2 linked regions of the Nothobranchius furzeri genome follow. The protein of the gene in region 1 interacts with the protein of each later gene in a biochemical or structural test. Links are inferred from orthologs where the notes say so. Each region holds a gene or a part of one and is shown in the gene's direction. Other genes may lie near its edges.

Region 1 (7,112 bases):
TGGAACCCCCCAAGGTGCTTTACAACACAATCAGTCATTCACCCATTCACACACACATTCACACACTGGTGGGGATGAGCTACAATGTAGCCACAGCTGCCCTGGGGCACACTGACAGAGGCGAGGCTGCCGAGCACTGGCGCCACCGGTCCCTCCGACCACCACCAGCAGGCAACGTGGGTTAAGTGTCTTGCCCAAGGACACAACGACAGCGACAGACTGAGCGGGGCTCGAACCTGCAACCCTCCGATTGAAAGGCGAGCACTTGACTCCTGTGCCACCGTCGCCCCAAAGAGTAGATTGATTATTCATAATTTCCATTACCCTGAATCGTCATGCGAGAGCTGGGCGCTGAAAACCCGTCCATGGAGCCAACCGCAAACCTCCCCCACTCTGCTCCGGACAAAGCCCTCAGCTCACCAGCTCTGCATGCCCGCATCCTCCACCAAAATGTTGGGTAATTAAATGTTGGGTAATTTGTACTTCTCCATAACCCTGGAACCTGAAATGAACACACAGGACAAAAGGGAGACATTTTATACCAAATTGCCAAATGAGGGGGAGACCATATATGACAGTAACTCTCTCCAAAGCTAGCTGCCATGCGTCTCCCACTTTCTTCAGAGTTTCCAGTGGCTTTAATCAGCAAAGGATGGAGAAGGCGGGGCCTTCTTGGGTTACAGAGGTGCAGAGACCCATCACCCCCCACACAAAGGAAGATTCACAGACCAAGCAAAATGAACATTTAATAAAAATACCTAACAATTTATGCCTGCAGTTTAGAGAATATTTTCATAATGTATGTTTTGCTGGTTAGAGCTTTGATACAGTCTTTTCTGATTGTGCATGCTTGTCTCTCAGATGGCAGTGGAGAGGAGGAGAGCGGCCAGAAGCCCCAACAGGTGGCGTCGGCTCTGGTCAGCAGCTCTCCCTCCACGCCTCCCAGCACGCACCCCGCTCAGCCCTCCAGACCGGAGAGCTTCGACGTCACACTGCAGCGCAAAGACAACGAGGGCTTTGGCTTTGTCATTCTCACATCGAAGAACAAGCCCCCACCCGGAGGTTAGCATCAGATCAGAAAAGATCTTTCATCACGTAAAATCACTTCACGGGTGACTTTTGAACGTAATGAAAATGCAAACAGAATGAAGCCAAACTGCATGTATTTGTTACATATTAGTTTAATAGCAGCGTCGCTGTTTCCATCTGCGCCAGTATGAACCGGATTAAGACCTCTGTCTGAGTTAGACACAGCTGGCATTTTCTGATCACTTTAACCCAAATGAGCTCATCTGTCTTAACGGGAATAATGTAATTAAGCCATGGGGAGGGCTTGTTTTCATAGCTCGATTCTATCAGCGCGCAGCAGAGATGCTGCTGGCGAAAGGGACGATCTGTGTTTTCAGGGATTAGAATCTAATCGAGCATTCTGATGGATGCAAAAAGCTTGGGAGCATTTTTTAAACCAGAACATTTATATTGACTGAGCTTATTGTTTTTTCTTGGGGTGTCAGAAACTGATTCGTCATCACTGCGTTCCCTTCTCGGCTCAAAGCTGTGGAGCGTGTGGCTATTTTTGAATACTTTTTCATTAGAATTACACCTAAATTCAACATAATCACATAAGAATCTAGAACATTTCCCCACATTTGTACAGGTGTCTTTTTTCGTTGCTTGTTGTTTCTGCTGAACATGATCATCGTTGCTCTTTTCCTTTCTTCCAGTCATACCTCATAAAATCGGTCGTATAATTGAAGGCAGCCCCACGGATCAGAGTGGTCAGGTGAAAGTGGGCGACCGTATCTCTGCGGTGAACGGTCAGTCCATCATGGAGATGTCGCACAACGACATCGTTCAGCTCATCAAGGACGCCGGGAACACGGTCACCCTGACTGTCGTACCTGAAGACGGTAAGTTGGCTCGAGTCTCAATTTCTACCGCCCTGATCACCGAGGAGAACCAGATAACAGAAAAGGTCGGTGTGTCCTCACAGACGGAGCTCCTCCTTCTGGAACAAACTCTGTGAAGCAGAGCCCTTCGGCCCAGCACAGAGCTGTGGGCCAACAGCCTCCCAGTTACCAAGACAGGTACACAAACGTACACGTGGAGTTCAGACGATGAAGTGCTTCTTGTGCGTGTTATTTAAATGGTTCCACGTGTTAAGATGTCCAACTTGTTTTCAGTGTGTAGCTTGAGTGCGTTGTGGGATTTGTTGGGTGTTTTCTGCTCACAAGCCAAATATTTGTTCAGATCATGTTCAGTAAGGTGAGTTGGATGTGGGCTAGGGCCTTGTGTTGGACGTGAACCGGTACAGTCCAGAGCCTCCGCAGTTTAGTCCACTCATTTGGGTGGAGAGCCTCAAGAGGAGGTTCTTCCTTCCAATGATGAAGATTCAGAATACAAGCACAACACAAGCCTGGAGAACTAAAGAGGCGGAACATTTAGGACCAGGCATCCTGTGTTGCTGGTTGAGATCTAGTAGTCTCCCTTAAGCCGGGCGTACACTGTGCGACTTTTTCACTTTTTTGAGCCGATTTTCCACTCGTGCGAGAATCCACGAGATCAGGGCGAGTTTTGCGCTGAGCGTCGTGTAGTGTACAGGGGGTTACGAGAGGCGATTAACACCACGTGACCAGCTACCGACCAGCAGTCGTGAGGTCACACGGACTTCTGGTGTGTTTGATATTTTGCTCGTCCCTCGTGAGGGTATCGCACTGTTGAAGCGGCGCTGCGAGCAGCTGCGACCCAAAATGTATCAGAACCGCTCACGGCGCATGCGCAATCCTGCATCAACACCGCTCGCCCGCTATTTCCCTAATAACACACGCTGTTCGTTTTTGTTTCTACACGTTTTTTTACTCACAAAGATTGTCAAGAAAGCGTGTTTGTCGTGTTCATGTCAAATTAAGCTGATCACAAAACACAGATTTACTTTCTTTATTTCGTTTTCCTCATCCAACCCCCATAAATCCCTGTGAGTCCTCCTGCAGCACTCCCAAAGGACAACAGGCAAGACAAGACAAAAAAGTCTGACGTGTTGAGTAAAAACTGCTATTTTTAGCATATTTTTAGGGCCGACGTGTTGCTACCAGACGTGCAGTGTGAGCAGTCAGGTCGCATCCGAGAACTGGGTCGTGCAGTGTGAGCGCATGACTCGTGAGATCTGCCCTGCGAGGAAGTCGTACAGTTTGAGCTGAAGCTGAGTGCTACGAGTGAAAAAGTTGCACAGTGTACGCCCGGCTTAGTCTACTTCACACCGATCCTGGTGTGTGCAAACAGCCAAAGCCCTCTGTTACATCGGCTCTAAAGGGGATCGTTCCATCTTTCACTTCACACAAGCTTCTGATCCCAGGTTTGATGCAACCAGAGTTTCAGCCCCAATCGTTCCAAAGCCCCTCTGGTGCTTTGCTGCCATGTGGCCGATTGTCATTAATGGAGTATGTGCTCCTTGTTATCTAACCCCCTTCACACACACACACACACCACCCCATCGACTTGGACAGAGAGACAGAAGTGGAATTAATGAAGGACCATCCTTTTCTTTTGACCCTATTTCCAGGGAGAGTGACCTGTGTCTACTCTTCTACTGGAGCCACCTTTAACCACCTTCTCTCTTCATTGTTGACGTCTCTCCATTACTCAGCAGCACTCTGCCTCCTGGTTTAATCAGCAGCACATGCCTCGGGTCGACCCAGGCTCAGATGCGAGCTGCGGCTGACAGCTTGGCAGCGTGAAGTGCACAAACACTCATCAGGGCTGGAGCCGCTAAGGATGTTCAGCTCTTCAGATGGTGTGTCAGCACGGCTAAGTTCCCACAGAGGCATTGTAATGAGCTCTGCGAAGCGTTAAAGCGTGCCGCTGTTATCCGTCACTGAAACTTGGCTGCAGCACGGCTCTTGGAAGGATTTACGTTTCTCTGCTCGGGTTAAATAATGAAATCATCAGAGAGAGAGAGAGAGAGGCTTGTGCTGCTGGAATCAAGGCGTGGCAAAGCGTGGATCAGAGTTTTCAGTGTTACGGTTTTATGCTTTAAGAACAACCCAGTGTGGTTGACTCCTTTTTTTAAAATCTGTGACAGGAATGGTGACTCTGATCTGAAGAACTCGGTCCAGCCAAATGAACGGGGAGCACTCATCGCATCAGGCCCCAAGCAGGTAAAACCAAAGACACCGTCTGGTGTTTAAGGCTTTAGCTGTATTTTAATGATGTCAGCAAACCGTGATGTGTTTTAAGTCACGTTAAGGGTGAAACTGATTTTTGCTGCATTGTCTTGAGTTTGCGGTGGACTTTTTATGAAGTGCCCCAGTCGTAAAGACGTATTTTGTTTCTCTCTGGGACTAACAGGGCTGCCTCGTGGTGGAGCTCGAGCGCAGCCAGCGGGGTTTCGGCTTCAGCCTGAGAGGAGGAAAAGAGTACAACATGGGCCTGTACATCCTGCGGCTCGCTGAGGAGGGGCCTGCGCTCAAAGATGGGAGGATACACGTGGGTTCATTTATCTGCTCTTTTAATTATAGCTCAATCAGAAATCTATGCAAACCCCTATAAACCAAAATGCTGTGGTAAAACTGGTAACGATAGAACAGAACACGTCAGAATATGGGGATGAATGGGTGGATTGTACTTGCCCATGCCTGAACAGGAAGTCACGGTTCTCCATAGACACCACTTGAATAAAGATAATTTAGTACATAAGACTGTCTTCTCCGGGTGAGGGATGAGGTCCCGAGTGGAGGAGTTTAAGCATCTCGGTCGTGTTCATGAGCGAGGGAAAGATGGAGTACGAGATCGACAGGTAGATTGGTGCTGCGTCTGCATTGATGCGGGCGTTGTACCGGTCTGTCGTGGTGAAGAGAGAGCTGAGCCAGAAGGCGAAGCTTTCGATTTACCGATCGATCTACGTTCCTACCCTCACCTGTGGTCATGAGCTTTGGGTAGTGACCGAAATAACGGGATTGCGGATACAAGCGATCCAAAATTAGTTTTCTCCGCAGAGTGGATGGGCTCTCCCTTAAGCCGGGCGTACACTGTGCGACTTTTTCACTTTTTTGAGCCGATTTTCCAGTCGTGCGAGAATCCACGACATCGGGGCGAGTTTTGCGCCGAGCGGTCGTGTAGTGTACAGGGGGTTACGAGAGGCGATTAACACCACGTGACCAGCTACCGATCAGCAATCGTGAGCTCGCACGGACTTCTGGCGTGTTTAATATTTTGCTCGTCCCTCGTGAGGGTATCGCACTGTTGAAGCGGCGCTGCGACCCAAAAAGTATCAGAACCGCTCACGGCGCATGCGCAATCATGCATCAACGCCGCTCGCTCGCTATTTCCCTAATAACACACGTTGTTCGTTTTTGTTTCTACACGTTTTTTTACTCACAAAGATTGTCGAGAGAGCGTGTTTGTCGTGTTCATGTCAAATTAAACTGATCACAAAACACTGATTTACTTTCTTTATTTCGTTTTCCTCATCCAACCCCCATAAATCCCTGTGTGTCCTCCTGCAGCACTCCCGAAGGACAACAGGCAAAACAAGACAAAAAAGTCTGACGTGTTGTGTAAAAACTGCTATTTTTAGCACATTTTTAGGGCCGACGTGTTGCTACCAGACGTACAGTGTGAGCAGTCAGATCGCATCCGAGAACTGGGTCGTGCAGTGTGAGCGCATGGCTCGTGAGATCTGCCCTGCGAGGAAGTCGTACAGTTTGAGCTGAAGCTGAGTGCTACGAGTGAAAATGTCACACAGTGTACGCCCGGCTTTAGAGATAGGGTGAAAAGCTCGGTCATCCAGGAGGGGCTCGGAGTAGACCCGCTGCTCCTCCACATCAAGCATCTAGTTAAGATGCCTTCTGGACACCTCCCTGGTGAGGTTTTCTGGGCACATCCAACTGGTAGAAGACCTAAAGGAAGACCCAGGACACCCTGGAGAGACTATTTCGCGGCTGGCCAGGGAATGCTTTTGGATCCCTCTGGAGGAGCTGGCCCAAGTGGCTGGGGAGAGGGATGTCTGGGCCTCTGTCTAGGCCACCACCCCCTCAACCCAACCCCGCATAAGCGGATGAAAATGGACGGATGGAATGCATAAGATGAACGAAGACGTGTTTATTTTGTGTTACTTGCTAAACCAGCTTTAGAAGTTACTTGTGTCTACCACTAGGGGGCAGTGTGGAATAAGAAGTATGTGAGAAGGGAGAGTGAGAGAGTTGAGATGGATGCCTGATACTGCCGCATGTGTTGTTTTTTTGTGATTGGTGAATTTAAACTCTAAATCTGAATTGCAGGTTGGAGATCAGATCGTAGAGATCAACGGCGAGGCCACGCAGGGCATCACCCACACTCGGGCGATTGAGCTGATCCAAGCAGGAGGCACTAAGGTTCACCTGCTGCTCCGACCTGGTCAGGGCCTGGTTCCGGATCACAGTGAGTCACGGCTGAAGGATCGCCTGTGTTTAGCTCAACACGCCATCCACTTGAGTACAGAAGATGCTTGGCAGCAGGATGCTTCTTGGTTCTCATGCATGGGTTGCAAAGCTTCTCTTTGACCTTTTCGTTGGTGTCTCCTCATGACCTCTGCTGCTGTTTATCACCTTTGCTTTCTCTGTTTTTCTGCTCTGGCACGGCTGTCTGTTTTCTACCTTTTTATCTCCTCCTCCTCCTATAGGTCTGAACTCTTCTTCCACCCTGTGCTTCTACATGAAACCAGAGCATCAATAAGGCCTCACTGCTTTTTCTCGGTCTGTCCTAATAACCTTGGTAAATCTTGGACTCCTCCTTGTTTTTTCCTTTGACCTCTTGTTGAATTAGTTTATCCCTCTCATAGAGTTTTGTGTGACTAATGGGCCATTCCCATCTGTACCGTGTCGGCCCGGGCCGGGTAGCCCCAGTCGGCCCCAGCCTGGCCCGGTTGATTCCACACATCCTTGTCTTAAGCCCATGTGGGCTGATTCTACCCACCAATCAGAGGCTTGCTCTAATGGAAGGTGTGGATTTGCTGTCAGCAGTGGGTGTGTTGGCCCTGGTCGGCCTGAAGCAGACCCCCTCGAGAAGAGGGCTGAGAATGAGCCTTGGTTGGCCCGGAAAAATACCAGGCCACCCAGATATGTAAACAACCTACGCTA
Region 2 (7,551 bases), on another chromosome or scaffold:
GAAGGGGCTGTAGCTTAAAACAAAATGTAAAATAACAGAAATTTGACTAAATAAACATGAAAATCTATAAATAGATTACAACATTCACAATAAAATGGTGATTTTTAAGGTGTGGAATACTGAAAAGAACATTTTATAATTATTAGTCCTAATCATAATCAGTCACTCTGAGTTTTTCATGCAGACTGAATATGAAAATAGTCTCCTACACCTATCTGCTGCATTAGCTTCTGATAGAAAATAGGATTTGAAAAGCCTGACAGATCTACGTCACACTGTCACACAACAACCATGAACTCACCCATCTTGACTCACAACGGTGAAGGTTGTTGTTGGTTTAGCGTCCAGGACACAACAGAGAACGTCTCAGCTAGTAGAAGCTAACATTAGCATTAGCAACATCACCACACAGCAGAACTCCTCCAGGCTTGTGTTATTTGTGGAGATAAAACATCAACACCGCAGAGCAAACTGAGTCAGTGGTAGAGTTGCATTGCTGTTAGCCAGTCATAGGAGAAATCACAATCAAAAATCAGAAATATGACTCAAAACCTTCAAAGTCTATTTAAAGTGGTTGAGCAGGTTCCTTTTGCATGAGATAGCATAGCAGCCCAGTTTCTAACCAAAAACGTTAACACTGAGCAAGAATGTCTGCAAAACACTTTAAAACTAAACCAGAATAGTTTTCCGTTCAAAAATGATGAAGATATTTATTTTGTGTCAAATCTTGAGAAAACTTAGTACAATAGCTCCAACTGTCAATGACAAAGTTAAAGCTGTGTATGTGGTGGGAACCACTCTTTAGCCCATTATCTATAAAACTGGCATGTTGTTGTTGTTGTTTACTATTGTTGATTAGCTGTGGGGCCATCTTTAATCAGGCAGGGCTCCCGCCAACAGTTGGATGCATAGATAGTGTTCAGAGTGCATCATGCCAATTACTTTTAGCTGTTATTATAATGAATGCTGGCTCAATAAATGAAAAGAATGACTGAGTTGTAGCCATTTTTGTGTTTTCCCAGCTTCGGCCAGCAGGGATCAGGTAGACTCCCAAAGAACAGTTCACTGTTTAGGCGTGGCTTTATTCTTAATTCAGAGATATTTGGGGTCACATGGCTTGAAAATTGCTATTTTGTGGGTCTGAAGCTGAAGCGATTACTGCTCCAGGATCCTGACTCAGTGAGACAACTCACATCTGGAACCACCCAGATGTGAGGCTCCACAGTTTTAGAACAAACAGTTGTGTGAGTGTGTGCCATCCTGTGTAAGTGGCTGTTGCTGCAGACCTGAGTGGTGGAAAATGGCTGTTTTCTGCAGATCGTAGAAAATGCAGAGACACCAAGAGGGAGTCTCATACAATGGAAGATGTTTCATGGCTATTCTCACACTCCGATACTCAAAAGGAACGATTGGGATTCTGCAGGATTTTGGAAACATGGGAACTTTGCTGCGATTTGGAAGTTACAGCTGGGTAATAAAACAATTCTGGTTATCCACTCATTTTAGGAAGTCTATTAGTGTTTGCATGCTTTAGTGTTACATCCGTTGATTCTGCTTTTTGTAAAAAAAAATAAATAAATAAATACTTAAATTTAACAAATCAAAATAATAAGAGTCTTACATGTTTATAAGAAGATAAAATCACCTGTATAGTCATAGCGGCCTTTCTGCGTGGAGTTGTGTGTTCTCCCCATGCATGCGTGGGTTTCCTCCGGGTCCGGTTTCCCCCACAGATCACAACATGCCCTATAGGTTATAAACTGTAAGTCGCTTTGGATAAAAGCGTCTGCTAAATACATTAACATAATAAACGTAAAATGTGGCTCTTTGCATTTATTCAAGGAAAAATTAACAATATGTTGAAGGAACTTTCAGCCCTTTTCTCTGACTCCGTCACAAACACCAGAATCATTTGAGAAAACAAAACATAAGATTGAAATATTTTTAGGGTGTTTCACTTAAAAATCTTTCAGCTGACTACATAATATTTCAAACAGTCAAGAATAGAGCTGTTATTACTTCATTCTAAGCTTAATTTATTCTGTGCTCAGCTCACATGTATGTAAAAACTGTGTGTTTAAATGTTTTTCCAGAATCAGAAGTTGGTGTTACCCATGCATAACAACTTCATCACAAAGAGAAATATTTAATATTCCTCTCGGTGATGCATGAGTACCGTTCTTGGGTTATTTTCTCTGCTTCATCAGAAGTTTCTGCCTCTAATGGTGCAAATGAAGGGAAAACACTGAGAACAGGAAATGACTTAACCCTTTACTGGTTCCAAATGTGTGACGCTTAATTGTTCCACCAAAAAGCCAGCAGGGAAAAACATCATAATCAAAAGGCTTTGCTTCAGCCTCCACACTTCAAGGTCAAAAAAGAAAAAAATAAAAGCATCCTGCTGCTCATAAAGGTCAAGGGGGAATGTTGACTTCTCTTCGTTGTGTTGGGTCGGGTTGTGTTGCAGCCTCAGCTGTGGGGTCGCTGGGTTCATGGGCGGGAGCGTAAATCGTCCACATAAAAACAAACAAAGTTTTGTTGTTTTCCATTTTTGTGCAGACTGTTTGTCATGAGGCCGGTGGAAATTTACACATCTGATGTGGACTAAGGTGTACAATCACTCAGAGCTCAAAGGTTATGGTCCATATTGACATGACAGCATCACACAGCTGCATGATGGGAGTCTCCTGTTCCACCACATCCCACATGTTCTGGACTGAGATCTGACTGTGGACATGGTTGGAGTCCAGTGAACTCATGGTCATGAAACCAGATGATCTTCGTGACATGGTGCTTTATCCTGCTGAAAGTGTAGCATGGGTTAGGGTCCACGTGGTCATGGATGGACATGGTAGTCTGTGGTGTTTAAACCAGGCTCAGGTGGCACTGGGGGTCCAGAGTGGGACAAGAACATCTCCCCCACACCATTGTACCACGCTGCAGCAATGATACAAGACAGGACGGATCCAGGTAGTTCACATATTCTCTCATTAACATTAATTAAACAGCTGAGCAGGTGCAGAGTGACCAGTTTATTTAAAACAAACTCAAGTGGGACAGTGGTGAGTCTTTACATTGATGCATTTAATAAAATCTGGTTGTGAGCCAAACGCTTCTTTATGCAGCTGTGAGGCCAGTCTGCAGGTCTGTGTTGGGTCAAGTCTCATGTTTAAGGAATGTATTCTCAGAGATAAAAATATAAGGAGAAAAACAAGTTCTGGACGTGATAGCAAGTGGTGACAGGAGGGAATTCCCTCTGGACCATTGTGATGTTTCCCATATTTGGTGCACCGTTTTCCCACAGTGTGGGGTTTTGCAGGATAAGAAATTCATGGGTCAATTTCTCATCAGAATATCGCGAATGTTCAGTAACTGTCCAGTGCATGCAAAATAAGACTGGAAGTCTGCTTTTCTCAGGTGCAGCTTGTTTCCTGATCCTCACCGCTGGGACCGCGGGTCCCCTGGACTTTCTGATTGGCCGTGATGAGCGGTGATGTCACCGCCTACCTCGCTGTCCAGGCCGGCGCGGTTTCGAGCGCAGATCCAGAGAGAGAAGCTAAAACACTCCGTGGAGTCGGCGCGCGATGGGATGAGAGCTGCGTGAACGCCGCACAGCGCTGCCTGGATGAGACCGAGCTGGTCCAGCTCACAGAGCAGCAGCCCGTCATGGGGAACGGTGGTGCGTTCTCACCGGTGAACCTCCACAATGGCACGGGGAGCGAGGCGCCGGGCTCCGCTTCACCTGCGTCGGAGCAGTGGATGGCGGGGATGAGCCTGGTGATGGGTCTGATCGTCGTGTCCATCGTGTTCGGGAATATCCTCGTGATCGTGGCCATAGCCAAGACGCAGAGGCTGCAGACGCTCACCAACGTGTTCATCGTGTCGCTGGCGAGCGCGGACCTCATCATGGGGCTGCTGGTGGTGCCATTTGGCGCCGCGCTTGAGGTGCGCGGCTCCTGGCTCTACGGCTCCTTTTTCTGTGAGTTCTGGATCTCCGTGGACGTGCTGTGCGTCACCGCCAGCATCGAGACCCTGTGCGTCATCGCCATAGACAGGTATGTGGCCATCACCTCACCTTTCCGCTACCAGAGCTTGTTAACCAAGGCTCGCGCAAAGGCGGTGGTGTGCGTGGTGTGGGCCATCTCTGCGCTGGTCTCCTTCCTGCCCATCCTGATGCACTGGTCCCGCGACAACGTGGACACAGCCTGCTACGAGAACCCGGAGTGCTGCGACTTTGTCACCAACCGGGCGTACGCCATCTCCTCATCCATCATATCTTTTTACATTCCTCTCCTGGTCATGATCTTCGTTTACGCACGGGTGTACAGAGAGGCCAAGCAGCAGCTGAGGAAGATCGACAAGTGCGAGGGCAGGTTTCACAACACCCTGACTGGACTCACCTCCAAGTGCAAGAAGAGGCCGTCCAAGATCCTGGCGCTGAGGGAGCAGAAGGCGCTCAAGACGCTGGGCATCATCATGGGGACTTTCACTCTGTGCTGGCTGCCCTTCTTCATAGTCAACGTGGTGCGGGTGTTCAGCGCAGAGGTGGTGGACAAGAACCTCTTCGTGTTCCTGAACTGGTTGGGGTACGTGAACTCGGCCTTTAACCCAATCATCTACTGCCGGAGTCCGGACTTCAGGAAGGCTTTCAAGAGGCTGCTGTGCTGCCCGAGACAAGCCGACCGCAGGCTGCACATCAGCTCCTGCGACCTGTCCCGCTGTTCCGGCGGGTTCGTGTCCGCGCTGGAGCCCGGGACCTTGGAGATGTGGTCGGACTGCGCCGTCCTGGACAACAGCGACAGCAGCCTGTTGGGGACAGCGAAACTGTCCCACTCAGAATCACAACTGTGAAGAAAATAAATAAAACCATCCAGATGGAGAGTTAAAAATATATACAAACAGGAAAGGATGCGCGTAAAATCCAAACCATTCGCTGTAAGTGGAGTTGTCTGTACAATCAGTTAAAGATCTTGGTCTTAATTCATCGATGCGATAAATCCAAAATCGAAGGTTTGCGCTCACAGAACACAAAGCGCTTTTTCCACAAAAGCGCACGAGCCTTAAGGTGATTTATTACTGCAGATGCGACTTTTTACTCCAGATCTGTCGACCAGGTGGCTATAATATTAAAAGAATCACGTTTTGCTGATACCTTTGTTCATAATGGGAAACAATGTGTTCCTAAAATGATCTCTGAGGCGCTCCAAAACGCGCATAACGTGGATGCCAATAAGCTCTTAATTACCTCACAGGCCGGTGCAATTTATACGGCAGGTACTTGTTTATATTAAACATAATGTAAAATAAGTGTTTTTATTTATTCGGTGCGTTCTTTTACAACATAACCAAGTGAGGGGTCAATAATTGCGCATTTTGTGGTGTGGAATGAGGAATCTCGAGCCTCTGTCTGTCTCCGGCTTTACCAGCTGTTTTAAGGTGGTGCTTTGACGTCTGTGAAAATAAAAATAACCTTTGATTGCTTAGTTCTGTTCGAGCTGTATTTCCTGTGAGTGGTTTTATATTAGAACCTGATCCACAGGCTTTTGCTCCATGGTAATTTCTTATTTTTTACATAATACTTTTTTGAACTAGATGCAAAGTTTAAAAATAACCCAGGATTTGTTAATAGCCTGCCTGTTAAATGCTTCCCTGCTGGCTGAGAACAGCTGGAATCTGATTGGCCTCCAAGGAAAGATATGGATAACATGAATTTTAAACAGGGATATGAGATGTATAGATGTTTATTGACTCACTTTGTTCCCATACCACAACATCACAAATCAAAGTTTTAATGGAAGCACACTGGTATGGGGCACCGATTGTGAAAATAACACGTAACATAACAGCTAAATTTTACACTTGGCTGCAACTATTAAAGTTAAATCTAAATATTTTGAATCAGGTCTAAGAGTGTAAAATAAAATCTAAATGCTTAGAATCAAACATAAATATACAAAGTGAAATTTAAACGTTAAAATGTAAAAATGTGGTGATCTGAATCTAAGAATTTAGAGTCTAATGCAAGCTCAGACAAGTGCTGGACAAAGTACAAAGTTTATTTAAGAGATCCCTTAAGGGATCCAATTTCCTTTGAATGTGTGACTAAATTTAACCAGAGATCATTTATCAATGTTCTTAATTTGCACAGAATTAATTCCTGTTCTCAAACAATTCAAATAATTTTATGTTTAAAAGATTATCAAAGAGATTAGGAGTATAAAATAAAGCATCATTTTATGTTATTTACTTATATTCTTTGAAAAGTAAACTTCAATTTTACAGCAGTTTAAAACCACCAAATTTTACTTTTTTTGTTTAAAAATAAATTTCAATTTTAATATTTTAATATCATGTAGACTGATGTTCACTAAGACATAATATTGTAATTCTTGAAATATGAGAATAACATTAGCCCCCCATGCACTTGAGGCCTGCATTGCTAACTTTCATTTAAAATACTTTTACTCCAGTAATATTTGTCCCTCCCTGTTCACTGTACAAGTCTAAAATGTGGAGATTATTCTTCATACATGGCAAACCTGAACCTGTGGATCAGAACATCCATCCATCCATTGTCTGAACCCGCTTGTCCATGTAGGGTTGGGGGGGGGGGGGGGGGGGGGCTGGTGCCTATCTCCAGTGGTCAATGGGCAATCAGGCGGGGTACACCCTGGACAGAGAGCCAGTCCATCGCAGGGATCAGAACATATCAACTTGTAAAGCAACTAAACAATGTCTGTCTGTATTTTTTTAATAGGTTCACACCTCTGGTTTGTGACGTGGTGAATTGGTTATTTCAAAGAACACAAAGAGCAAAAAACTGGGGATCAAGCTTTTGTCATTTTCTTTTAGAAAATTGACATAAGAAACATGAGTAAAGAACATGAGTAACCACCAAACGGCTGTGTTTCTCTTATGATCCAAGACCAATCAGCTGCTGACAAAATACACAAATGAGTTTAAAATGTTTGGTTCATTTTCATTGGTATTTTATAAAATTAAAGGCTCAATGTGGGAAAAAATTAGACTCTTTAGCACCACTTAGTTCAGATGAGGTATTGCAACTACGGTATCCCACATGCATCAAAAAGGCAATGTTTCATTGTGGTGATGCTTGCACAGCTGCAACGGAGAGGGAGATACTATCACTGACAACTATAGGGCCAACCACAGAAAACAATACCGTATTTTCCGGACTATACGTCGCTACTTTTTTCCACGCTTTCAACCATGCGGCTTATAATGAGGTGTGGCTTTAGTCAACCAGAAAGGATGGATGCTGGAAAGTCTAATGAAGGAATGGTTAAAGGAGTGCTACGGAAAGCGCCCAGGAGGATTTTTTTCACAGTAAAACGGCGCTGCTTGTTTTCCCAGCTTCACCCCGGGATGATGATAGCAACACGGACAGCAACACTGACATAGCCACAGAAAAGGTATGTGACGAAGCTCTTCTGAGGCTGTTCAACTCCGACACTGAAGATGACTTCAGTGGTTTCAGTGCGCAGGAGGATGATGAATAAACTAATCAATAACTTTTCTGTTTTGTTTGAT

Evidence for each region.
Region 2: the proteins of magi3a (region 1) and adrb1 interact in a test that uses a peptide from one of them, tested with the Homo sapiens proteins (2 studies listed by IntAct, with this or other methods). The link is inferred for Nothobranchius furzeri from reciprocal best matches to the Homo sapiens genes MAGI3 and ADRB1.

What each region holds. Positions count from the first base shown.
Region 1 is NC_091755.1:38,353,285-38,360,396, reverse strand, and holds part of magi3a (membrane-associated guanylate kinase, WW and PDZ domain-containing protein 3a), read left to right. Parts: intron 1-861; coding exon 862-1,062; intron 1,063-1,724; coding exon 1,725-1,910; intron 1,911-1,993; coding exon 1,994-2,087; intron 2,088-4,078; coding exon 4,079-4,154; intron 4,155-4,344; coding exon 4,345-4,482; intron 4,483-6,275; coding exon 6,276-6,414; intron 6,415-6,655; coding exon of another isoform or gene 6,656-6,708; exon of another isoform or gene 6,709-6,747; intron 6,748-7,112.
Region 2 is NC_091756.1:38,263,731-38,271,281, reverse strand, and holds adrb1 (beta-1 adrenergic receptor), read left to right. Parts: upstream 1-2,775; 5' UTR 2,776-3,483; coding exon 3,484-4,851; 3' UTR 4,852-5,307; downstream 5,308-7,551. UniProt on the Homo sapiens protein: Beta-adrenergic receptors mediate the catecholamine-induced activation of adenylate cyclase through the action of G proteins. This receptor binds epinephrine and norepinephrine with approximately equal affinity.